Saccharomyces cerevisiae S288C: one gene and its partners. The main gene of each other region encodes a partner of the protein of the gene in region 2 in a complex. Each region holds a gene or a part of one and is shown on either strand. Other genes may lie near its edges. The genes, in order: SWD2, CFT1, CFT2 and YTH1. A codon is read from its position in the direction of its gene.

What was found.
Region 1: CFT1 (region 2) and SWD2 share a complex: the UniProt entries of both Saccharomyces cerevisiae proteins name them as parts of the cleavage and polyadenylation factor (CPF) complex.
Region 3: the proteins of CFT1 (region 2) and CFT2 are in contact, whole or in part, in a cryo-EM structure (PDB 7ZGQ), measured with the Saccharomyces cerevisiae proteins. Residues at the interface, in NP_010587.1 of Saccharomyces cerevisiae: Lys84 (codon at 3,112), Ile85 (codon at 3,115), Thr99 (codon at 3,157), Leu100 (codon at 3,160), Ser101 (codon at 3,163), Leu102 (codon at 3,166), His103 (codon at 3,169), Tyr104 (codon at 3,172), Ala196 (codon at 3,448), Val199 (codon at 3,457), Ile1277 (codon at 6,691), Asp1278 (codon at 6,694), Arg1279 (codon at 6,697), Glu1280 (codon at 6,700), Leu1281 (codon at 6,703), Gln1282 (codon at 6,706), Gly1285 (codon at 6,715), Leu1286 (codon at 6,718), Asn1287 (codon at 6,721), Arg1289 (codon at 6,727), Met1290 (codon at 6,730), Leu1293 (codon at 6,739), Ala1294 (codon at 6,742), Tyr1298 (codon at 6,754), Gln1299 (codon at 6,757); in NP_013216.1 of Saccharomyces cerevisiae: Ile524 (codon at 3,781), Ile525 (codon at 3,784), Ile526 (codon at 3,787), Gln527 (codon at 3,790), Ser532 (codon at 3,805), Lys533 (codon at 3,808), Lys535 (codon at 3,814), Met536 (codon at 3,817), Phe537 (codon at 3,820), Pro538 (codon at 3,823), Phe539 (codon at 3,826), Pro541 (codon at 3,832), Ala542 (codon at 3,835), Lys543 (codon at 3,838), Ile544 (codon at 3,841), Lys546 (codon at 3,847).
Region 4: the proteins of CFT1 (region 2) and YTH1 are in contact, whole or in part, in a cryo-EM structure (PDB 6EOJ), measured with the Saccharomyces cerevisiae proteins. Residues at the interface, in NP_010587.1 of Saccharomyces cerevisiae: Val516 (codon at 4,408), Gly517 (codon at 4,411), Tyr537 (codon at 4,471), Tyr949 (codon at 5,707), Glu951 (codon at 5,713), Ser1020 (codon at 5,920), Ser1021 (codon at 5,923), Met1022 (codon at 5,926), Gln1024 (codon at 5,932), Ser1027 (codon at 5,941), Lys1030 (codon at 5,950), Glu1034 (codon at 5,962), Glu1092 (codon at 6,136), Ser1094 (codon at 6,142), Arg1096 (codon at 6,148), Lys1104 (codon at 6,172), Leu1106 (codon at 6,178), Pro1118 (codon at 6,214), Val1119 (codon at 6,217), Ala1120 (codon at 6,220), Phe1121 (codon at 6,223), Asp1123 (codon at 6,229), Ser1133 (codon at 6,259), Phe1134 (codon at 6,262), Gly1135 (codon at 6,265), Asn1136 (codon at 6,268), Leu1137 (codon at 6,271), Gly1151 (codon at 6,313), Phe1152 (codon at 6,316), Asp1153 (codon at 6,319); in NP_015432.1 of Saccharomyces cerevisiae: Ser2 (codon at 2,685), Leu3 (codon at 2,688), Ile4 (codon at 2,691), His5 (codon at 2,694), Pro6 (codon at 2,697), Asp7 (codon at 2,700), Thr8 (codon at 2,703), Ala9 (codon at 2,706), Tyr11 (codon at 2,712), Pro12 (codon at 2,715), Phe13 (codon at 2,718), Lys14 (codon at 2,721), Phe15 (codon at 2,724), Phe18 (codon at 2,733), Leu19 (codon at 2,736), Tyr23 (codon at 2,748), Ser24 (codon at 2,751), Phe25 (codon at 2,754), Ser26 (codon at 2,757), Leu27 (codon at 2,760), Asp28 (codon at 2,763), Pro29 (codon at 2,766), Asp30 (codon at 2,769), Arg31 (codon at 2,772), Ile33 (codon at 2,778), Lys55 (codon at 2,844), Val57 (codon at 2,850), Phe61 (codon at 2,862), Trp70 (codon at 2,889), Leu71 (codon at 2,892).

Annotation. Positions count from the first base shown.
Region 1 is NC_001143.9:402,151-406,540, reverse strand, and holds SWD2 (WD-repeat containing protein SWD2), read right to left. Parts: upstream 2,440-4,390; coding exon 1,450-2,439; downstream 1-1,449. Other genes in the region: ATP-dependent 5'-3' DNA helicase HCS1, read left to right, coding at 1-1,351; MCO12 (Mco12p), read left to right, coding at 2,662-2,961; RAM2 (bifunctional protein farnesyltransferase/protein geranylgeranyltransferase), read right to left, coding at 3,023-3,973. UniProt on the Saccharomyces cerevisiae protein: The COMPASS (Set1C) complex specifically mono-, di- and trimethylates histone H3 to form H3K4me1/2/3, which subsequently plays a role in telomere length maintenance and transcription elongation regulation. Involved in mediating RNA polymerase II termination.
Region 2 is NC_001136.10:1,060,490-1,068,257, forward strand, and holds CFT1 (cleavage/polyadenylation factor CFT1), read left to right. Parts: upstream 1-2,862; coding exon 2,863-6,936; downstream 6,937-7,768. Other genes in the region: rRNA-processing protein BFR2, read left to right, coding at 1-742; PRO1 (glutamate 5-kinase), read right to left, coding at 1,016-2,302; mannose-ethanolamine phosphotransferase GPI11, read left to right, coding at 7,242-7,768. UniProt on the Saccharomyces cerevisiae protein: RNA-binding component of the cleavage and polyadenylation factor (CPF) complex, which plays a key role in polyadenylation-dependent pre-mRNA 3'-end formation and cooperates with cleavage factors including the CFIA complex and NAB4/CFIB.
Region 3 is NC_001144.5:375,774-382,032, forward strand, and holds CFT2 (cleavage polyadenylation factor subunit CFT2), read left to right. Parts: upstream 1-2,211; coding exon 2,212-4,791; downstream 4,792-6,259. Other genes in the region: AVL9 (Avl9p), read right to left, coding at 1-1,465; mRNA splicing protein MSL5, read left to right, coding at 5,049-6,259. UniProt on the Saccharomyces cerevisiae protein: RNA-binding component of the cleavage and polyadenylation factor (CPF) complex, which plays a key role in polyadenylation-dependent pre-mRNA 3'-end formation and cooperates with cleavage factors including the CFIA complex and NAB4/CFIB.
Region 4 is NC_001148.4:740,596-744,745, reverse strand, and holds YTH1 (cleavage polyadenylation factor RNA-binding subunit YTH1), read left to right. Parts: upstream 1-2,681; coding exon 2,682-3,308; downstream 3,309-4,150. Other genes in the region: GLD1 (Gld1p), read right to left, coding at 1-57; proteasome regulatory particle lid subunit RPN7, read right to left, coding at 1,003-2,292; putative protein kinase ISR1, read right to left, coding at 3,354-4,150. UniProt on the Saccharomyces cerevisiae protein: RNA-binding component of the cleavage and polyadenylation factor (CPF) complex, which plays a key role in polyadenylation-dependent pre-mRNA 3'-end formation and cooperates with cleavage factors including the CFIA complex and NAB4/CFIB.

The DNA of each region.
Region 1 (4,390 bases), on a different chromosome or scaffold from region 2:
TAAAACATTCACATTAATTGAATTGATCCAGCAATTGCTAATTAAAAATCCTGAGGAGAGAATCTTAATTTGTGGGCCTTCCAATATTTCTGTGGATACGATTCTGGAGAGGCTAACGCCTCTTGTGCCGAATAATTTATTATTAAGAATCGGTCATCCTGCTAGGCTATTAGACTCTAATAAAAGACACTCTCTTGATATACTTAGTAAAAAGAATACTATTGTGAAGGACATTTCCCAGGAGATTGACAAATTAATTCAGGAGAATAAAAAACTAAAAAACTATAAGCAACGTAAAGAAAACTGGAACGAAATTAAACTGCTGCGCAAAGATTTAAAGAAAAGAGAGTTCAAAACCATTAAGGACTTAATAATACAATCGAGAATAGTCGTCACCACTTTACACGGTTCATCATCGAGAGAACTATGCTCCCTTTATAGAGATGATCCAAATTTCCAGCTTTTCGATACCTTGATCATCGATGAAGTCTCACAGGCCATGGAACCACAATGCTGGATCCCACTAATTGCACATCAAAATCAGTTCCACAAACTAGTCCTTGCTGGTGACAATAAACAATTGCCACCCACAATCAAAACAGAAGACGACAAAAATGTCATTCACAATTTGGAAACCACACTATTTGACAGAATAATCAAAATATTCCCGAAAAGGGATATGGTAAAATTTCTTAACGTTCAATACAGGATGAATCAAAAAATTATGGAATTTCCATCGCACTCAATGTATAATGGGAAACTATTGGCCGATGCAACGGTCGCGAACAGACTTTTGATAGACCTACCGACCGTCGATGCTACGCCATCTGAGGATGATGACGATACAAAAATTCCTTTAATTTGGTATGATACGCAAGGTGATGAATTTCAAGAGACTGCAGATGAAGCTACTATCCTTGGATCTAAGTATAATGAGGGCGAAATTGCCATTGTAAAAGAACACATTGAGAATTTAAGGTCATTCAACGTCCCGGAGAACTCTATAGGTGTTATTTCTCCATACAATGCACAAGTTTCTCATCTGAAAAAATTGATCCATGATGAATTAAAATTAACTGATATTGAAATATCAACTGTAGATGGGTTCCAGGGCCGTGAAAAAGATGTTATCATATTGAGTTTAGTTCGTAGCAATGAAAAATTTGAAGTTGGTTTCCTTAAGGAAGAACGAAGACTGAACGTCGCCATGACAAGACCCAGAAGGCAACTAGTTGTTGTTGGCAATATAGAAGTTCTGCAAAGGTGCGGTAACAAGTACCTAAAAAGTTGGTCAGAATGGTGTGAAGAGAACGCTGACGTAAGGTACCCCAACATTGACGATTATTTGTAAAGAATACACAAGATGTATAGAGTATACGTCGTTATACAGTAGGTAAAAAATGTTCGTTATATATTATATCCTCTAGTATATCAATGCAGTAGCAGCAGTCATTCATCGTACACGTAAAAATCTACTGTTTCGTCTGCGGTAACAAACATCGAATATTTAGGGTTGAATGCAATTGACCTGGGGCAGGTCTCATGAGAAACACAGGGAATGAACCCTTGCGGCCTTAATACTTTGTTACTTATTGAATCAGAATGATTCCAAATGGCAATCCTACCGTCATAATCGGTTCCAAGGACGAATTCACCATCTGGTGTGAAACAAGCAGATCCAGAATCTAGAAATTCTCTCATCGGGAAGGCCCTTGTTCCTATTAGTTCGAATAATTGTTGACCTGTGAATGCGTCAAAAATTAAATGCTTTCCTATCGAGGAGCCAACTAATAAATACTTTCCATTGTTAGAAAATTCTAATTTATTCCATTGACTGAAAGTCGCATCATTAATTTTAATTATCAAGAAAGGACCCTCCTGAATTTTTTTCAGATTATATAGCCCTATTTCGAAATTCTCTGGGTTCCCCAATGCGAATACAAGGCCACTTGGATCATATGCGATACAATTTGGTACGAGACTTGGTATAATAACTTGCGGTTTAGAGATCTTCAAATCCCAAAGCCTAACGGATTCATCGTATGACGACGATAGAAACGTATCGTTCACGGGGTTCATCTTCAAATCATTCACTAGGGCGCCATGACCGGAAAAATATCTTAGATATTGGTTTGTTTCCAGATTAAGGTATTTAATGTCAAAATTTTTCATTGTAGAGGAATAGATACATTCGTTTTGTGCGTGCGTAAAGATAGCGGAGTGACAGCCATATTTCTTAGAGGCTATAGTGTCCAAGAATTTGCAGTTCGTGGCACTGTACAATTGCATTGTATCGTTGGAAGAAGAGGTCAGTAGAAACTGGCCATTATCGTCGAAATTCAATGAGGTTACGGGTCCGCAGTCTTTTTCTTGAGGTTGAAAGCTTTTAACATGCTTGAATTTCAGCAGGTTGGGCTTATTGATGGACACGGTGGTCATTGTTGGCTATGCTAAAAGGACAAACGGTGTATTTGCTTGTGCTTTGCTCGATATTTTAGTCTTGCTTTCATTTTTTTTCTTTCTTTTTTAATGTACTAGTGCTAAACTGCATGAAGAAAAAATGGGTAAAAAAAGGTATCGAATAAATGAGTGTAGGTAACAGTTAAACAGCAAAAAGAAGGAGCAAAAGAGAGTGAAGATCAGATCGTAACATATTGCAAGATGTTGGGAATGATAAGGTGGGTAGTAGAGGGGACGTTGGTAGCTATGCTCCTATCGGCAATAAGAAGGGAGACGGGAATGATATTCTTTTACAACCAGTATCAGTTGGGCGGCTGGATACATAGATATCTGTCATGGGGAGAGATGTGCTACACAAGGACGCTGAAGATGGTTAAACGTTCTAAATTTTTCAGAAAGCAGTTGAACGAGGACGGGTTTGGACGCATCAATGATAGCGGTCCAAAACGAAGGGGAAGAGATCAATCTCAATACAGCAGTAGGTTTGTAGAACTAGATTAAACTTGCGTGCATGCACGTACACACGTAAATATATTCGTACAAATAGAGTGCTTACATATATTCAGTTCAGATTATTTATTTTGTGGTGCCACAAGTTTTTTCTAATAGGATCGTATTTGATTGCTAGCAAGCTATAGGCCTTAACAGCGTTGTCTCGGGTACAAGGGTCTGCCCCCCAGTGATATGCCAGGAATTCCAGGGCATATGAGGACTCGATCTCGGGCAAATCCTCTGGTGAGCCAATTGGAAGTGACAATACGTCACCGATGAAGGTTGTGGCGAAGTCGACTACTTTGCTATCCCACTGTAGCCTATCATGGAATAGCTCTTGGAAACCACGGAGGTAGGTCCACGGACTGATGTTCTGCGGAACCAATTGAATCTTGTCCATAATGAACTGGAGCTCGTCGGCCAATTCCACTTTTGAAATGACATCTTTAGCGTTCACCCAGTAAAACATCCTATGAGTCCATGCGCTGTTGTTATAAATGTCTGTCTCGATGAGGTCGCTGGCGTAGGCGAGCTCATGTTGAAAGTCACTGAAGAACAAACAGCACCACTTTCTGTACGACCAAACGTGATAATTCTTGGAATCATCATCAATCATCAGTTTTAAGATAGGCAGCTCTCTTTTGAAGGAAGGAGACGGATGTAGCTTCAAAAGAGACTGTCTATAGGACCAGATCTGATAGTTCTTTGGATTATTCAGCGTAACTTCATCTAGCCAGTCTAATTCCTTGTTCAGGTACAAGACAGTGTCTTCGGATTCACTCATCATGTGCCTGACGATATTGAATCGGTAGTTCCATATGGTGTAGAAGGCTGGCGCCACGTCGATAATTTCGGCTGTTAGCTGTAGTGCCCTGGGTGACAGTTCGTTAAGGCTGATCAGAGCCCTTGCGAGTCCCATCAACCGCTTATAATCCTCGGTATACATAATCCTGCACAGTTCATCCTGCAAGTCTGTCTCAATGGGCAAAGGTTTAACGTCTGAATAATCGTACTCCTCCATTTTCGATGGTGTACGTTGTATCAGCACTTGATATATAATATACCATAATTAACAGTCTTGCAGTAGGTCTGCACCAACAGTTAAGGACCAATTTAACAGAATGTCAAAAGCGAAACTTTGCTGATGTGTTTTATCACGAGGCCCAATCGAAAACCGGCGCGAGCACTGCTGCAACCTTCAAAAATGAGAGAGCGCTTCCCAGCAGGTCTCTAGTTGCATATGGATAGCGTCATGATGAATATAGGTCAGCATAGGGCTCTGGAAGGCCTGGCATTATCGGTTATTGTCGCTATTGCTGCCCTTTTCTCTGCTCGTGTAAGGTGACATTGTTGTATTCCCGCTTTTTTCGTTTCAATTTTAACGGCAAGGAGCAACCATGAAAGTAAGATGATCGCATGAACTGAAAATGTCAACGAA
Region 2 (7,768 bases):
GTACAGGACTGCCGTATTAAACAAGTGGTCTACCAAAGTTTCTTCTGCATCAGGTAACGCTGCTTTATCATCTAACAAATTCAAAGCTATCAACTTACCTGCAGATGTACAAGTCGAAAACCAATTATCCGATATGTCCCGTTTGATGAAAAGAACAAAGTTGAACAGGAGAAACATAACGCCTTTGTATTTCCAAAAAGACTGTGCTAATGGCAGGCTACCAGAATTGATTTCTCCCGTTGTCAAAGATAGTGTTGATGACAATGAGAATTCGGATGATGGGCTTGATATCCCGAAAAACTATGACCCAAGAAGAAAGGATAACAATGCCATTGACATTACCGAAAACCCATATGTTTTTGATGACGAAGATTTTTACCGTGTTTTACTAAACGATTTAATTGACAAAAAGATTTCCAACGCTCACAATTCTGAAAGTGCAGCAATTACAATCACCTCAACTAATGCTCGTTCGAACAACAAGCTAAAGAAGAATATCGATACTAAGGCTTCCAAGGGTAGGAAATTGAACTACTCAGTTCAAGATCCAATTGCGAATTATGAAGCCCCCATCACATCCGGATACAAATGGTCAGACGACCAAATCGATGAATTCTTTGCGGGATTGTTAGGTCAACGAGTGAACTTTAATGAAAATGAGGATGAGGAACAACATGCCAGAATAGAAAATGACGAAGAATTAGAGGCTGTTAAAAACGATGATATCCAAATCTTTGGTTGAATATACATTTATTTTAAATACGCACAACTCATTTAATTTAGGGCTTATAAGTAGATAGAAGGATTTTAACGGATCACAAAAAGTAGCTGTTAACAACTACCTTTTTTTTGAGTTAAGAACACTAATGTGGATTAGGAAGAAACAGCTGCTCTGCACAATTCTTCAAAAAAACAAAACATGCTTAATGTGTCATTATTTAACCTGGAAATATAAAGGTAGTGTTTTATATAAGAAATATCATTAAGGGAATCCTCTATAACTTTTTAGTTCGTTTCAACGAGGTGGGAATGCCAAATTTTCTCTATGAGCGACATATTCGCTGTCATTATAGCCCAATTCCTCTTCGATTTGGTCACTGTGCAAACCTTTAATTTTAGTTAATTCAGAACTCGTGTAATTGCATCTTGCCTTGCCTACTGTTTGCAAGGGAAAATCTGGATCTAACGTGCCATCTGGTAACTTTTTACCAACTTTTATGTCAACACATTCTAACTCATGGAAAGTGCCCTGAACATCAATAACACCTGCTGGCAATAATCCCGCCTTATTTTTCCTTGTTAAGGCTGCGTACGCACCTTGGTCTATAACAACAGCGCCTTTAGAGACAAGACCGTGTAAAATCCAAAACTCTCTATTCTTTAGATGGTGTTTATTATCATTAGCAATGAACTTCGTATGTAGTGGAACGTTAAGAGCCTTTAATTTCTCAAATTCTCTTTTTTGCAAATCCGTTAAATCGCCATTATATGCTTGTTTAACTTTATTTTCATCGTCAAGTTCTAGAGTTTGCATATACTCGACAATTCTACCTATATTCGCAGGTGTATCGCTTTTCATGATCAACGTATGAACACCGGCATTCGTTGCCAAATCTGCAGCAACCAATTTAGTTTCCATACCACCGGTCCCAACGTCAGAACCTGAACCACCAGCAGTATTCACACCGGGCAAACCCTTTGAGAGATCTGGGACAACTAAGATCGGCATGGCATCTGGGTTTGTCCTTGGATTATCAGTATACAAACAGTCAACATCTGTCAGTAAGAAAAGATAATCTGCATGGATTAAAGCAGAAGTAATTGCTGATAAAGTGTCATTGTCACCAAATTTGATTTCTCTAACAGATAGTGTGTCGTTTTCATTCACAATGGGAATAACGCCCATGTTCAACAATTCATTAATTGTGTTTTGAGCGTTCTTATATTGGGTCCAGTCCAGAATATCATTTCTGGTCAATAGAATTTGAGCGATACGTTGATCAAATTGCGAAAACAGAAGATCCCATCTCCCGATCAATCTACCCTGCCCAATAGCTGCGATGGCCTGAACTTCTGCTAAATGTTTTGGTCTTTTATTCATACGCATAGTCCTCAAACCAACAGCAATACCACCACTGGACACGATGATAACTTTGTGTCCCATTCTTCTCAATTTGACTACAGTTTCGACAATAAGCGACATGATAGCTAACTTAGGTTCTTTGGTTTTTTCATCTACTAGCGATGAAGAGCCTAATTTGATCACTATAGTATACGATTTACTCTCATTAGCATCCTTCATTTTCGCGTTCTTATGACTATATTACAGTAGCTGATAAAATGACCTAAACTATGCCTATCTTTGAAGCAACTAGACATTAATCTTGAAAGACCGTTTTGATGGATGAATAATTCATCGAGAAAGCATTAGTTCGCTGATGTAATTTTTCATTTCCTGCCATCATGCGATGTGTGGGTGCTATTTATTTTCAATTCCTTTACCAAGGTACCTGATAGTGTCATAAATAAATAAATTTAGACCAAAATGTAACCATTGATAAGTGAGAGTCTTAAATTTAACATGTTCATACTTTAACTGGTGCTCAACCGATATATTATGATTCACTGTGCCACTGACCAGCCCTATTAGTGACATTTTGTGCTTCCTCATCCCGTCGGCTCCCAATAAGACAACGTAGTAAGTGATCTTAATATAAGGTAAGTTCGAGGTGACATATTTCACAGAGCAGCGTTAAAGCAATCATATGTAAATTGAGGAAGATCACCGTCCCTTGAACACTTCACTGATTAAAACTATCAGGTACTAACCTAGATTCGCTTTTTACTCTAGCTACTGGCCCTATGAATGTATATGATGATGTGCTTGACGCTACTGTTGTGTCTCATTCATTAGCAACACATTTTACTACTTCAGATTATGAGGAGCTCTTAGTGGTGCGAACAAATATCCTTTCTGTCTACAGGCCTACTAGGGATGGTAAACTGTATTTGACTGATGAGTTTAAGTTTCATGGCTTGATCACCGATATAGGCCTCATTCCCCAAAAAGACAGTCCGTTAAGTTGCCTGCTTTTATGCACAGGCGTCGCTAAAATCTCTATTTTAAAGTTCAACACGCTAACAAACTCAATCGATACCCTAAGCCTGCATTACTACGAAGGAAAGTTCAAGGGTAAATCGTTGGTAGAGCTGGCCAAAATTTCCACCTTGAGAATGGATCCTGGAAGTTCTTGTGCCTTACTGTTCAATAATGACATTATCGCTTTTCTACCCTTCCATGTCAATAAAAATGACGACGATGAGGAGGAAGAAGATGAGGACGAGAACATAGACGATAGTGAATTAATCCATAGCATGAATCAAAAATCCCAAGGGACGAATACTTTCAATAAGAGGAAGAGAACCAAGTTAGGTGACAAGTTCACGGCTCCAAGCGTGGTATTGGTAGCGAGTGAGTTGTACGAAGGCGCCAAAAATATCATAGATATTCAGTTCTTGAAAAATTTTACTAAACCAACGATAGCGCTCTTATACCAACCAAAGCTTGTTTGGGCAGGAAACACCACCATTTCAAAACTCCCTACACAATACGTTATACTCACATTAAATATCCAGCCTGCAGAAAGTGCCACCAAGATTGAATCAACCACAATAGCATTTGTCAAGGAACTGCCTTGGGATCTACACACCATTGTACCTGTTTCGAATGGTGCTATCATTGTGGGAACCAATGAACTGGCATTTCTAGATAATACTGGCGTTTTACAATCGACAGTATTATTAAACTCATTTGCTGATAAAGAGTTACAGAAAACAAAAATTATCAACAATTCTTCATTGGAAATTATGTTCAGGGAGAAAAACACTACGTCAATTTGGATACCTTCGTCCAAGAGCAAAAACGGAGGAAGTAATAATGACGAAACACTACTACTTATGGACTTGAAATCCAATATATACTATATCCAAATGGAAGCAGAGGGCAGGTTACTGATTAAATTCGATATTTTCAAGCTACCTATAGTCAATGATCTTTTGAAGGAGAACTCCAATCCAAAATGTATAACACGTTTGAATGCCACCAATTCAAACAAAAATATGGACTTATTTATTGGGTTTGGTTCAGGAAATGCTTTGGTTCTCAGATTGAATAATTTGAAATCTACCATTGAAACAAGAGAAGCACACAATCCATCTTCAGGTACAAATAGTTTGATGGATATCAATGACGACGATGATGAGGAAATGGACGATTTATACGCCGATGAAGCTCCTGAAAATGGACTAACAACTAATGATTCCAAAGGCACTGTGGAAACTGTTCAACCTTTCGATATCGAACTGTTATCATCTCTAAGGAATGTTGGTCCCATCACATCGTTAACTGTAGGTAAGGTATCTTCCATTGATGATGTGGTAAAAGGACTACCAAATCCAAACAAAAACGAGTATTCGCTAGTTGCCACATCGGGAAATGGTTCAGGTTCTCATTTGACCGTCATACAGACTAGTGTTCAACCGGAAATTGAATTAGCATTGAAATTTATCAGTATAACACAAATCTGGAATCTGAAGATCAAAGGAAGAGATAGGTACTTAATAACTACTGATTCCACAAAATCCCGGAGTGACATATATGAAAGTGACAATAACTTCAAACTTCATAAGGGCGGCCGTTTAAGAAGAGATGCTACTACAGTTTACATTTCAATGTTTGGTGAAGAAAAAAGAATAATACAAGTCACCACCAATCACTTATATTTATATGATACACATTTTAGACGTCTCACCACAATTAAATTTGACTACGAAGTTATTCATGTTTCCGTCATGGATCCGTATATACTAGTTACCGTATCAAGGGGTGATATTAAGATATTTGAATTGGAGGAAAAGAATAAAAGAAAATTGTTAAAAGTTGATTTGCCAGAAATTTTGAATGAAATGGTTATTACATCTGGTTTGATTTTGAAAAGCAATATGTGTAATGAATTTTTGATTGGGTTGAGTAAGTCTCAAGAAGAACAGTTATTGTTTACATTTGTTACTGCAGATAACCAAATTATCTTTTTTACTAAAGACCATAATGACAGAATCTTTCAACTAAATGGTGTTGACCAATTAAATGAATCTTTATACATTAGCACTTATCAACTGGGCGATGAGATCGTCCCTGATCCATCGATTAAACAAGTAATGATAAACAAACTGGGCCATGACAATAAAGAAGAATACCTGACAATATTAACCTTCGGAGGAGAGATTTACCAATATAGAAAATTACCACAAAGACGTAGTAGATTTTATAGAAACGTTACAAGAAATGATCTAGCTATTACTGGTGCTCCTGACAATGCATACGCCAAGGGTGTTAGTTCCATCGAAAGAATCATGCATTACTTTCCCGATTACAACGGTTATTCGGTAATATTTGTAACCGGTAGCGTTCCATACATATTAATAAAAGAAGATGATTCCACACCGAAGATTTTCAAATTCGGAAACATACCATTGGTTTCAGTCACTCCCTGGAGCGAGCGTTCAGTCATGTGTGTAGATGATATTAAAAACGCCAGAGTTTACACACTAACTACTGACAATATGTACTATGGTAACAAATTACCATTGAAACAGATAAAGATCAGCAATGTGCTTGATGACTACAAAACTCTGCAAAAACTAGTCTATCATGAAAGGGCTCAATTGTTTCTTGTATCTTATTGCAAGCGGGTTCCTTACGAAGCATTAGGAGAAGATGGCGAAAAAGTAATTGGTTATGACGAGAATGTTCCTCATGCGGAAGGATTTCAAAGTGGAATTTTACTCATTAATCCAAAAAGTTGGAAGGTCATTGATAAAATCGACTTTCCAAAGAATTCTGTCGTCAATGAAATGAGATCCTCTATGATTCAAATTAATTCAAAAACTAAGAGGAAAAGAGAATACATTATAGCCGGTGTTGCCAATGCCACCACTGAAGACACTCCACCAACTGGCGCTTTCCATATTTATGATGTGATAGAAGTTGTTCCCGAACCTGGTAAACCTGATACCAATTATAAGCTCAAGGAAATTTTTCAAGAAGAGGTCAGTGGTACTGTATCTACTGTTTGTGAGGTTAGTGGAAGATTCATGATTAGTCAAAGCCAAAAAGTTCTAGTAAGAGATATCCAAGAAGATAATTCCGTCATACCAGTGGCATTTTTGGATATTCCTGTTTTCGTTACGGATTCTAAAAGCTTTGGTAATCTTTTGATAATTGGTGACGCTATGCAGGGGTTCCAATTTATTGGTTTTGACGCAGAACCATACAGGATGATTTCATTGGGCAGAAGTATGTCGAAATTTCAAACAATGTCGCTAGAGTTTTTAGTGAACGGAGGGGATATGTATTTTGCGGCAACAGATGCTGACAGAAATGTTCATGTTTTAAAATATGCGCCAGATGAACCCAACTCTCTTTCGGGTCAACGTTTAGTCCACTGCTCCAGTTTCACGTTGCATTCCACCAATAGTTGTATGATGCTTTTACCAAGAAACGAGGAATTTGGCTCTCCTCAAGTGCCATCGTTTCAAAACGTTGGTGGCCAAGTGGATGGGTCAGTCTTCAAGATAGTTCCTTTAAGTGAGGAAAAATACAGAAGACTTTATGTGATTCAACAACAAATCATCGATCGAGAATTACAGCTAGGTGGTTTAAACCCTCGCATGGAAAGATTGGCCAACGACTTTTATCAGATGGGTCACTCTATGAGGCCTATGCTTGATTTCAACGTTATACGGAGGTTCTGTGGATTAGCTATTGATAGACGGAAAAGCATTGCGCAGAAAGCAGGAAGACATGCGCATTTTGAAGCATGGAGAGATATCATAAATATTGAATTTTCAATGAGATCTTTATGCCAGGGTAAGTGAACAATACATATAAAGGATATTTAATGCTAACTAGCCCGATATATACATCTATCTATCACTAGGCATTCGAGTAGTGAATAAGAACCACTACTTGAAACACTAGATTTGTAACAATAACGCATGTATCATCGTACATTTTCGGAACTATTTACGTAACGCGGGGATGAGGAAAAAGTTACTTTTTGCACAGCAAAAAAAACAAATAAAGAACAGTTAGTGAAATAAAGCAAAAGTGCAAACGGTGCCTTTAATCAAAGACTTTGCAGGAACATAAACAAGTGCACTAAAGAAGGTCCAATTTAAATATGCCAGCTAAAAAAAGGACTAGAAAGACAGTGAAAAAAACCGTATCATTCTCCGATGACACAACATTAACAACGCACCAAAATCGTGAGAAAAAGAACGTAGATCATGATCGTCCACCTGTGTATGTGAGGAAAACCCCTCTGATGACATTTCCATACCATTTAGTAGCACTACTTTATTACTACGTTTTTGTATCTTCAAATTTCAATACGGTGAAGTTGCTAAGTTTTTTGATTCCTACACAAGTTGCTTATTTAGTTTTACAATTCAATAAATGCACAGTTTACGGTAACAAAATCATTAAGATCAATTACTCATTGACCATTATTTGTCTAGGTGTTACATTTTTGTTGAGCTTTCCCACAATGTTATTAACTATATTATTTGGTGCGCCATTAATGGACTTATTGTGGGAAACCTGGCTGTTGTCACTGCATTTTGCATTTTTAGCATACCCTGCAGTTTATTCTGTATTTAATTGTGATTTCAAAGTGGGATTATGGAAGAAGTATTTTATCTTTATCGT
Region 3 (6,259 bases), on a different chromosome or scaffold from region 2:
TTAAATTATGAAATGTGGCCAAAAATCGTTGCTGTAATAGAGACAGAGTGTCGGCACCGTTATATATATGCTTCGGAGGAAACAAGTCGAACAATCTATCATCTGTTCTTGAGTTGAATATCAGAAAATTTTGAGTCTCTTTCCAACTCTGAACCCAATTCAAATTGAATAAATGAACGGGATTGGAATTTAGCATATCCTCAGGTATAGTCTTCAAAGCTTGATCATTCTCTTTATGCAGGTCCAAATAATCACTTAATTTAACACTGGAAAGTAACCCCGTTAAATAGTCCTCGAATTGCCACCTAATGAAATCCTCACTGCCTTCAAATTGAGAGTTTTTTGGAGTTTCATCATCATTTTCGTTCCATGTGTCTGATACAATTCCAGATATAGATTCAATCCATTTTTTATCATGACTTGACAATTGGAGGACGGGGTTCAAAGTCTTGTCCAGAATATCTACAGTGGAATTGTCTGTATTGACAAATATGTGGCACAGTTCCTCCTTTTGTTCAGCAAGCAATGTGTTGGAACTTCCAATCATAAAAAACAAAGTACGTTCTGACCGTATGTCATTCATTTGCTGCAGTGGAGTATAGGGTGAAAATAGTCCACCTTTTTCGAAAATCGGTAATGGAAAACCTAAGAATCTCAACACTGATTCTCGATTGCTTGATTTAAACGAGTCCACAACATTTAATTTCGAAATATCCTGAAACAACTGAGGACTGCCAGAATCCTGCAAATTTGACATCAAGTCCGGAATTAAGCTGATCAGACCGAACTGTAAATTACACAAAGCTTCCACGTCGTTGCCGTAAACTATAATTTTTTTTTCAAGCATAATTGCTTTCAATAAGACTAAAGCGTTTCTCTTAAAATCATGTAGTATCTTTCTCAGACATAACCCAATATAAAGACGATTTTCGGCATTTCTGACCAATGATGCAGGCGTGTAAATCGACTTCAGGTTTTCGTATAAAGACTGGATTATCTTCCTGTCCCCAAAATCATGCTGCAAGAAAAAAGCATTAGTCACAATACTAAGTTTGTCCTTGATTTGACCGAAGATTGGTTGCCTTGAGATGACTACAATTGCCTTCTGTACAGTAGATCGTGTTACATCCTTATCTTTAGTGACCAATTCATCACTCTTTATCTGTCTCGAGCAAGATATGGCAAACAAAGTCGTGTTGTCATTGATGCTATCATCACTCAGATCAGTTGCCCCGTTGGGAGGGCTCCTTTGTCTTCTTTCATCATATAGTAATGTGAAATAAGTAAATGTTTCTTCAAACGAGTGAGAACCATCAGGAAGGGCCTGGAAGGGTAAATTTGGCCATAGTTCTGCACTTTGGGTGCCCTCAGGTAAGCCATACCAGTATTCTATTTCAGGGCCTCTTTTGTGATGAAAGTCCACAAGGCAGATACCGAAGATGACTGCTTCCTCGTGTTCATCCATTATTTTGACAACAAGGTTGCAGCGAGGCAGAATGTATATGTTAGTTTGATATGGTCTTCCTGCTTGGATTCCTTTAAGGCTTCAAAATTTTCTTGAAAAGGAAACTTCGTGAATGAGCTGTAAGGATGCTTGATCGGGCCGTACATTCTTATGCAAGATCCATTATTGACTGCTCTCTGTTGGGTTAGCTTCCATATCTTCCGTTACCCGTTCGTATAATCATTACCCGACGGACAAGCATCATTTCAGCGGCTATTTTTGCTAGGCAAACCTCCTAAGCAATGATACTTCTCAAACGTTCAATGGAAGTAATAGAAGTTCAACTTACCCCATTAATAATCCACACATTAGAAGGTTGGGACAATAAAAATAAAAAGCATTAATTAGTGTAAACTTTGCTCCCAAATGCAAGTCTAAGGTAAGTTCTTTGGTTCATGGAGTTTTTGCAGTGTAATCTCACGTGCACTAGACTGAGTAAAGCGAACCTGAGTTCAAGAAATAATGATTCACCTATGACATATAGTCCAACTATACAAGCAATGAACCCTTACGGATTGAAGTCATTCAATGTTCAATGTTTGTTGTAATAAGAAATATTACTAGAAAAAGATTTTTTCTTTCGGCGGCGTTTTCCCGCTTTTCTTAAACAATCTGCAGTTTTAACATCGAATTCACGAATATTTGTTCGCTAAAGAAATAACACAGAAGATGAAATGAAGAACATACATTGAGGGCGACGAATATATATGACTTATAAATACAATTGCTGTGATGATGGATCAGGAACCACCGTTGGTTCAGTGGTACGATTTGATAACGTCACCTTGTTAATCGATCCCGGTTGGAATCCATCTAAAGTATCGTATGAGCAATGCATCAAGTACTGGGAAAAAGTGATACCGGAAATTGATGTAATAATACTATCACAACCAACAATTGAATGTTTAGGTGCTCATTCCCTTCTGTACTATAATTTTACCTCGCATTTCATATCCAGAATTCAAGTTTACGCAACTCTTCCTGTTATCAACTTAGGGAGAGTTTCCACCATAGATTCATATGCATCTGCAGGTGTTATAGGTCCATATGACACAAATAAACTCGATCTTGAAGATATTGAGATATCTTTTGATCATATTGTACCTTTGAAGTACTCGCAATTGGTAGATCTACGATCAAGATACGATGGATTGACTTTACTGGCGTACAATGCTGGTGTGTGTCCAGGTGGTTCTATTTGGTGCATTAGCACATACTCAGAGAAATTGGTTTATGCAAAGCGATGGAACCACACTAGAGATAACATACTAAATGCTGCTTCTATATTGGACGCCACTGGTAAGCCCTTATCAACTTTGATGAGGCCCTCTGCAATAATTACTACTTTGGACAGGTTTGGCTCCTCTCAACCGTTTAAAAAACGTTCAAAAATCTTTAAAGATACATTAAAGAAAGGTTTGAGTTCGGATGGGTCCGTTATAATACCGGTAGATATGAGTGGCAAATTTCTGGACCTGTTCACACAAGTTCATGAGTTATTATTTGAAAGCACAAAGATCAATGCGCACACACAAGTACCTGTACTTATTCTGTCTTACGCGAGAGGAAGAACTCTAACATATGCCAAATCAATGCTCGAGTGGCTGTCCCCTTCACTACTTAAGACATGGGAAAACAGAAATAATACTTCTCCATTTGAAATTGGATCACGGATCAAAATCATCGCACCAAACGAATTGAGTAAATATCCTGGTTCAAAGATTTGCTTCGTATCTGAGGTAGGAGCTTTGATTAATGAAGTGATAATTAAAGTTGGTAATTCTGAGAAGACAACCTTGATTTTGACCAAGCCGAGCTTTGAATGTGCGTCGTCTTTAGACAAGATACTAGAAATTGTTGAACAAGATGAAAGAAATTGGAAAACATTTCCTGAAGATGGTAAATCATTCCTCTGCGATAATTACATTTCAATAGACACCATAAAAGAAGAACCCTTGAGTAAAGAGGAAACAGAGGCGTTTAAAGTACAGCTTAAAGAAAAGAAAAGGGACAGAAATAAGAAAATTCTACTGGTGAAAAGAGAGTCTAAGAAACTGGCTAACGGCAACGCAATCATAGATGATACCAACGGAGAGAGGGCAATGAGAAATCAAGACATTTTAGTGGAAAACGTCAATGGAGTACCACCGATTGATCATATTATGGGGGGTGACGAAGATGATGATGAAGAGGAAGAAAACGACAATTTGTTGAATTTACTCAAGGATAACTCTGAGAAATCAGCAGCGAAAAAAAATACGGAAGTTCCTGTAGACATTATAATTCAACCAAGTGCCGCTTCAAAACATAAAATGTTCCCATTTAACCCCGCTAAAATCAAGAAAGATGATTATGGTACTGTTGTAGATTTTACGATGTTTTTACCTGATGATTCTGACAATGTTAATCAAAATAGCAGGAAAAGACCTCTCAAAGACGGTGCTAAAACCACGAGCCCTGTAAACGAAGAAGATAACAAAAATGAAGAAGAAGATGGTTATAATATGAGTGATCCAATTAGCAAAAGGAGCAAACACCGTGCTTCTCGTTACTCGGGATTTTCTGGAACCGGAGAAGCAGAAAATTTTGATAACCTTGACTATTTAAAGATAGACAAAACGCTCTCCAAAAGAACAATCTCAACTGTAAATGTCCAATTGAAATGCTCCGTAGTAATCCTAAATTTACAGAGTTTAGTTGATCAAAGGTCTGCATCTATTATATGGCCATCGCTAAAATCTAGAAAAATAGTTCTTTCCGCCCCCAAACAGATTCAAAATGAAGAAATTACGGCAAAACTTATCAAGAAAAATATTGAAGTGGTCAACATGCCATTAAATAAGATAGTGGAATTCAGTACAACAATAAAGACCCTGGATATCTCCATTGACTCCAACCTCGATAACCTTTTGAAATGGCAACGTATCAGTGATAGTTATACAGTTGCCACTGTCGTTGGCAGGCTGGTTAAGGAGAGCCTACCGCAAGTGAACAATCATCAAAAAACAGCGTCAAGGAGTAAACTAGTCTTGAAACCATTACACGGTTCATCTAGGAGCCATAAAACAGGTGCGTTGTCAATCGGTGACGTTAGGTTAGCACAATTAAAGAAACTTCTCACAGAGAAAAACTACATTGCAGAATTTAAAGGGGAAGGTACACTTGTCATAAATGAAAAAGTAGCAGTCCGCAAAATCAATGATGCAGAAACTATTATCGATGGTACGCCTTCCGAACTTTTTGATACTGTCAAAAAATTGGTTACGGATATGTTAGCAAAAATCTAGCCTTCTTGTATACAGCACAAATAAAAGGTTCAATTTACGTTCGTGGACTGCCCACAAAACAGTATGTGACATAAATTGCTGTGTATCTCGCACCGCTATTATCTGTATATAACATTCTAACTCACTTTTAACGATATTAGCATTATTGATTTCTTTCTTTTTCTGCTGAATTTCACCAAGCGGAAATTTTCAAAGCAGAATTTTTTCCCTAATTTGCTACAAGTGCTATTCTATCCCACAATAAAAGGAAATTGTTGATGAGTTTTAGAAGGATTAACTCTAGATACTTTGAAAATAGAAAAGGAAGCAGTATGGAAGAAAAAAAAGCAAAGGTTCCTCCAAACGTCAACCTTTCGTTATGGAGAAAGAACACGGTAGAAAGCGATGTCCATCGATTCAATTCTCTTCCATCAAAAATTAGTGGGGCCCTAACTAGGGAACAAATATACTCCTATCAAGTCATGTTTAGGATTCAAGAAATTACCATCAAACTGCGTACGAACGATTTTGTGCCCCCCTCCAGGAAAAATAGGTCACCTTCTCCGCCACCAGTTTATGATGCCCAAGGTAAAAGAACGAATACCCGTGAGCAGAGGTATAGAAAGAAACTAGAGGATGAACGTATTAAACTTGTTGAGATAGCCCTAAAGACCATCCCTTACTTCGTTCCTCCGGATGATTACAAGAGACCTACCAAATTTCAGGACAAGTATTATATCCCGGTGGATCAGTATCCTGATGTCAATTTTGTTGGTTTATTATTAGGTCCTCGTGGACGTACGTTAAGAAAGCTGCAAGAAGATTCGAATTGTAAGATTGCAATTAGAGGAAGAGGTTCAGTCAAAGAAGGTAAGAATGCAAGTGACTTACCTCCAGGCGCCATGAACTTTGAGGACCCCTTGCACTGTTTAATTATCGCAGACTCGGAAGACAAGATCCAAAAAGGTATAAAAGTTTGTCAAAACATTGTTATCAAAGCGGTGACATCTCCGGAAGGCCAGAATGACTTGAAACGAGGACAACTGAGAGAATTGGCGGAACTTAATGGTACTTTAAGAGAAGATAACAGGCCCTGTCCAATCTGTGGTTTAAAAGATCATAAAAGGTACGATTGTCCAAACAGAAAAATCCCAAATATACAGGGCATTGTTTGCAAAATATGTGGACAAACTGGACATTTCAGTAGAGACTGTAACTCATCGTCTCAAAGAATGAGCCGTTTTGACAGAAACGCCACGGTAAATAATTCTGCGCCAATACAGAGCAATGACGTACACTATAATAGCAATACTCATCCAATTCAAGCACCAAAAAGATCTCGTTATGACAATAACTCGACGGAACCTCCTTTAAAATTTCCGGCTTCTTCACGTTATGCACCATCACCTTCACCTCCTGCGTCACATATTTCGAGGCAAGCTCAAAACGTGACGCCTACACCCCCTCCCGGCCTAACATCAAGTAGCTT
Region 4 (4,150 bases), on a different chromosome or scaffold from region 2:
TACTCGTTTGTTTCCTATACTTAAATTTCCTTCAGCAGTACTTTCAAAATTATCCATTATTATATTGGCCTTATTGAAAACATAGATTAGTTTGCTTTTGGCCTGCTAATGGATGACAAATAGCGTGCTTAGTATTTTTAGGCTTCCGCAGTTTAGCTTTATTTGATGATACGTCAAGAGTGCGGGATAATGTAGGTTCAAAAGGATCAAATTGTGTTTCGTTATATATGATTTCCTTGCAATAACTATAGAGAAGGAGAACAATATAACCTTGTGCATGAAAGCATCATAGTCTTAAAGAAAAAATTTAAACTAAAATGCAGAATCAATTCTCATGGATTTTTTATATAAAAAGAAGCTAAATAAGTGTTAACTTTAGGGAAAAAATTTTGCCACCTGTCAGAATTGAACTAACGACCTTTGCATTACAAGTGCAACGCTCTACCACTAAGCTAAGGAGGCTTTTACACTGTAGGGTATCCTCCAAGAAGGGACAAAGTGTCTGCATGGAAATTTGCAGCCGACTTCTCTTAATGTCTGTAACACTTAAACTATCATGGAGTGATTTCATTTCAACGATATCCCTAAAAGCGAACCAGAAGTGTTTTAGTTGAATCGTTTATTGGCTAGAACACTCGAATACAACGTATTAAACAAATGAAGAAACAATGACCGTATCATGAATTTCCTTTTATGGGGATTCCTTTTTCTGGTTATACTACTTTTTAAGAATTGGCATTTTCAGCCTTAGATTCCTCACTTTCAAAAGAAGCATGGTCCTTTATGAGACATTGCAATTATGTAACTTTCCGAACTAAATACTGAAATTTTTAATGGAAGCTTGAAAACTATAGAAGCTCTCCGTTTTAAAGGAGAAAGAGGATGATTACAATCCTTTGACTTGAACCGATCCATATATCCTCTCACTACTATTTACTCAAGTCTCCAAACTATGTATACATGTTGATGTGATTATGTGCGTTGCTAAATAATGTAAATTCCTCAAACACGATCTGACCCTGTCAATCTCACTGCTGCACCGTATTTTTGTAATTTTGTTAGCAAACCGTCACCTTGCTTAACTAGCAGATGGTATTGAGCATTTTTGTTGTCTGGCCTGTTGGTCTCTACGATCCCATTAACTCTATCAATGACACAATTTAGTTGCTTATTTGGAATAAACTTACCCAGGTCGTTATCCAAGAACGCAACCGAAACACCAAATGCGCTTGCCATAGATTTCAGCGACAAAGTCTTATATGATTCCAACAATTGTGCGTAGACTTTTCTTCTCATTTCTCTAACAAAGAAATCTGCATGTCTATTCAAATATTTACATGGAATCAAAACATTTGCATATGTTTCCAAAAGATATGGAAAGTAACTGGCATAATCGGACGCGTAAAGGGAAATTGTTAACGACGAGATAGATTGTAGTGCGGCAGTTGTTGAGATTAAAGATAACAATTCAGGTGAATCGATGACTTTGGATTTTAGGTCTGTTCTTTCCAGAGTGAATAAACCTGTGACCGATGCATATGTGGCAATGCTTTCATAGGAAGTTAATTCAATAGAGGTGAAAGTTGCTAGAGAATCGACCAATAACTTTGCCGCTTCCTTAAAGTTTCTTACGGCCAAGCAGTGGATACCATAGTATGTTTTATATCTATTTCTTCTCTCCCAGTCACCACCTTTTTCAATCATAGAATTGACTGCTTCCAACTTCTCCTTAACATAAAGTTGGTCGTTATAAAAGAACCCCAGCCTTGCAATTGTTAGCATAACATCAATTTTGGCGCCTGTGGAAATAGCCTTCGATAATGATTTCCCTAGCGTCTTTTCAGCATTATCTTTGTCACCGATTTGTGCATAATATTCACCCAGATTAATCCAGGCTTGAGCTTGTTCTAGTTCACCTTCATCATCTTCTTCCAATTTTTGGATCTTTTCATTTAACTCTTTAATCTTACTTTCATTTTTTTTGCACAATTCATTGTATAGCTCCTGGTCAAATTTGATCCATTCGTTTAAAGAATCTGACTTTTCATCGTGTTCCAAGTCAGATTGGCCATTATTAACAAGGTATTCCTCGCAAAGATATTTATAATAAGGGGCCATTTCTTCCTCTTTAATTTTGGCTAAAACGAACTCTGCCGCTTCCTTACGCTGTTCAATACTAACCTTTGATTGTGTCAAAAGAAACGCCTTTTCAGATACCTCATAATTGGGCACCCTATTCACCGTTGGATCAACATATTCAACTTCTTGACTTTTCTCTTCCACGTCTACCATTTTGCCGTGTTTATCCAGAATTTTTGCGTGTATTAGTAACTATTGTAACAGTGGTAAAAAGCGCAGTTTACTACAACAATAGAGATTTGTGTAGTGTTAACAATTAGGTTTTTCAATGCTGCCTTGTGTATATTAATCCTCAATGGGTGGCAAACTTAACTTATTCGGAAACTTGATTGAGCATGCATTTACGCGCCGTCGGTTATGATATGGGGAAAACAAGTGTTATTACAATAGTCCACTATAACTTTTAATAATTATATAGAATGCACTGTACTTTGTTGTTCCAATCGCTTCAAAATATCACATTTCTGAATTATAAGCTAAAGATTTCTGCACTGTATCTTAAACAAGTATTCTAGGACGAATAAAATCAATAAGTTTATGTAATGAGCCTAATTCACCCCGATACAGCAAAATATCCTTTTAAATTTGAACCTTTCCTCAGGCAAGAGTATTCGTTTTCACTCGATCCTGACAGACCTATTTGTGAATTTTACAATTCTAGAGAAGGCCCTAAATCATGTCCGAGGGGACCGTTATGTCCAAAAAAGCATGTGTTACCAATATTTCAGAATAAAATTGTTTGTAGACATTGGCTTCGAGGGTTGTGCAAAAAGAATGACCAATGTGAATACTTACATGAATACAATCTTCGAAAAATGCCTGAATGTGTCTTCTTCAGCAAAAACGGGTACTGTACACAAAGTCCAGATTGTCAATATCTACACATAGATCCCGCTAGCAAGATACCAAAATGTGAAAATTACGAAATGGGATTCTGTCCTCTGGGGAGTTCTTGTCCTAGACGGCATATTAAGAAGGTTTTCTGTCAAAGATACATGACCGGATTTTGTCCTTTAGGGAAGGATGAATGTGATATGGAACATCCACAGTTCATAATCCCAGATGAAGGTAGTAAATTAAGAATTAAGAGAGACGATGAGATAAATACCAGGAAAATGGATGAAGAAAAGGAAAGGCGTTTAAACGCAATTATAAACGGTGAAGTTTGATCTATGCATGGCTGGGGGTTTTCGATTTCATAGACATGTATATTATCATATATAGTTACTATCGAGTATAGTTATGAGATTTTCTAGAGGAAGTCTATCAACCAGAATTCTGGACAATAATGCTAGTTCTGACTTCCAATCCTGGAATAAATCGTTTCTTAACATGTTTAGATTTATAGGATCTTTTTTCAAAAGAGCATTTATCAGCCATTGGGACTGCTGTATAGATGAACTGCCAATACCTGGAGAGGATCCATGCGACACTAACGCCTGAAGTTCGTTGTAAGGCTCATGCTGCGATATAAATGATAAAAGACAAAGCCCCACGGCATACAAATCCGATTCAAATGTAGGAACATGATCGGAGGAGCTATCAATTAGTTCTGGTGCACAGTATTCTACCGTGGTATTCAGATCTGTTGGTGTTTGATTAATGTGAAATGCCGACGTAAAGTCAGCAAGGTAGAAGTCAAAATCCTTACAATGGCCTCCATTAAGAACATGCATTTCTGTTATTAAAATATTTGCTGTTTTTATATCACCATGAATTATACCATTTGTTTTCAAAGATTTTAATGCGTCTATCATTTGCTTCATAAGTCTCCACCATATTTTTCTTTTTGTTATCAACGAAAGCTTATGTGACACTGCTGTATTGAAGTGATATAAACTCATTTCGCATTTCGGAAGAATAAGGCCAGGAACACATTCGTTGGACCTCAGTCTTCTAAAATGGGATTTAGTTATGTATGTCAACCCATAGAATGGAATAATATGACTTTCATTGGTTGAAGGACTCATGTACTGGAGATATGCTAGCGTCAAAGCTTCCTGTAAAATCA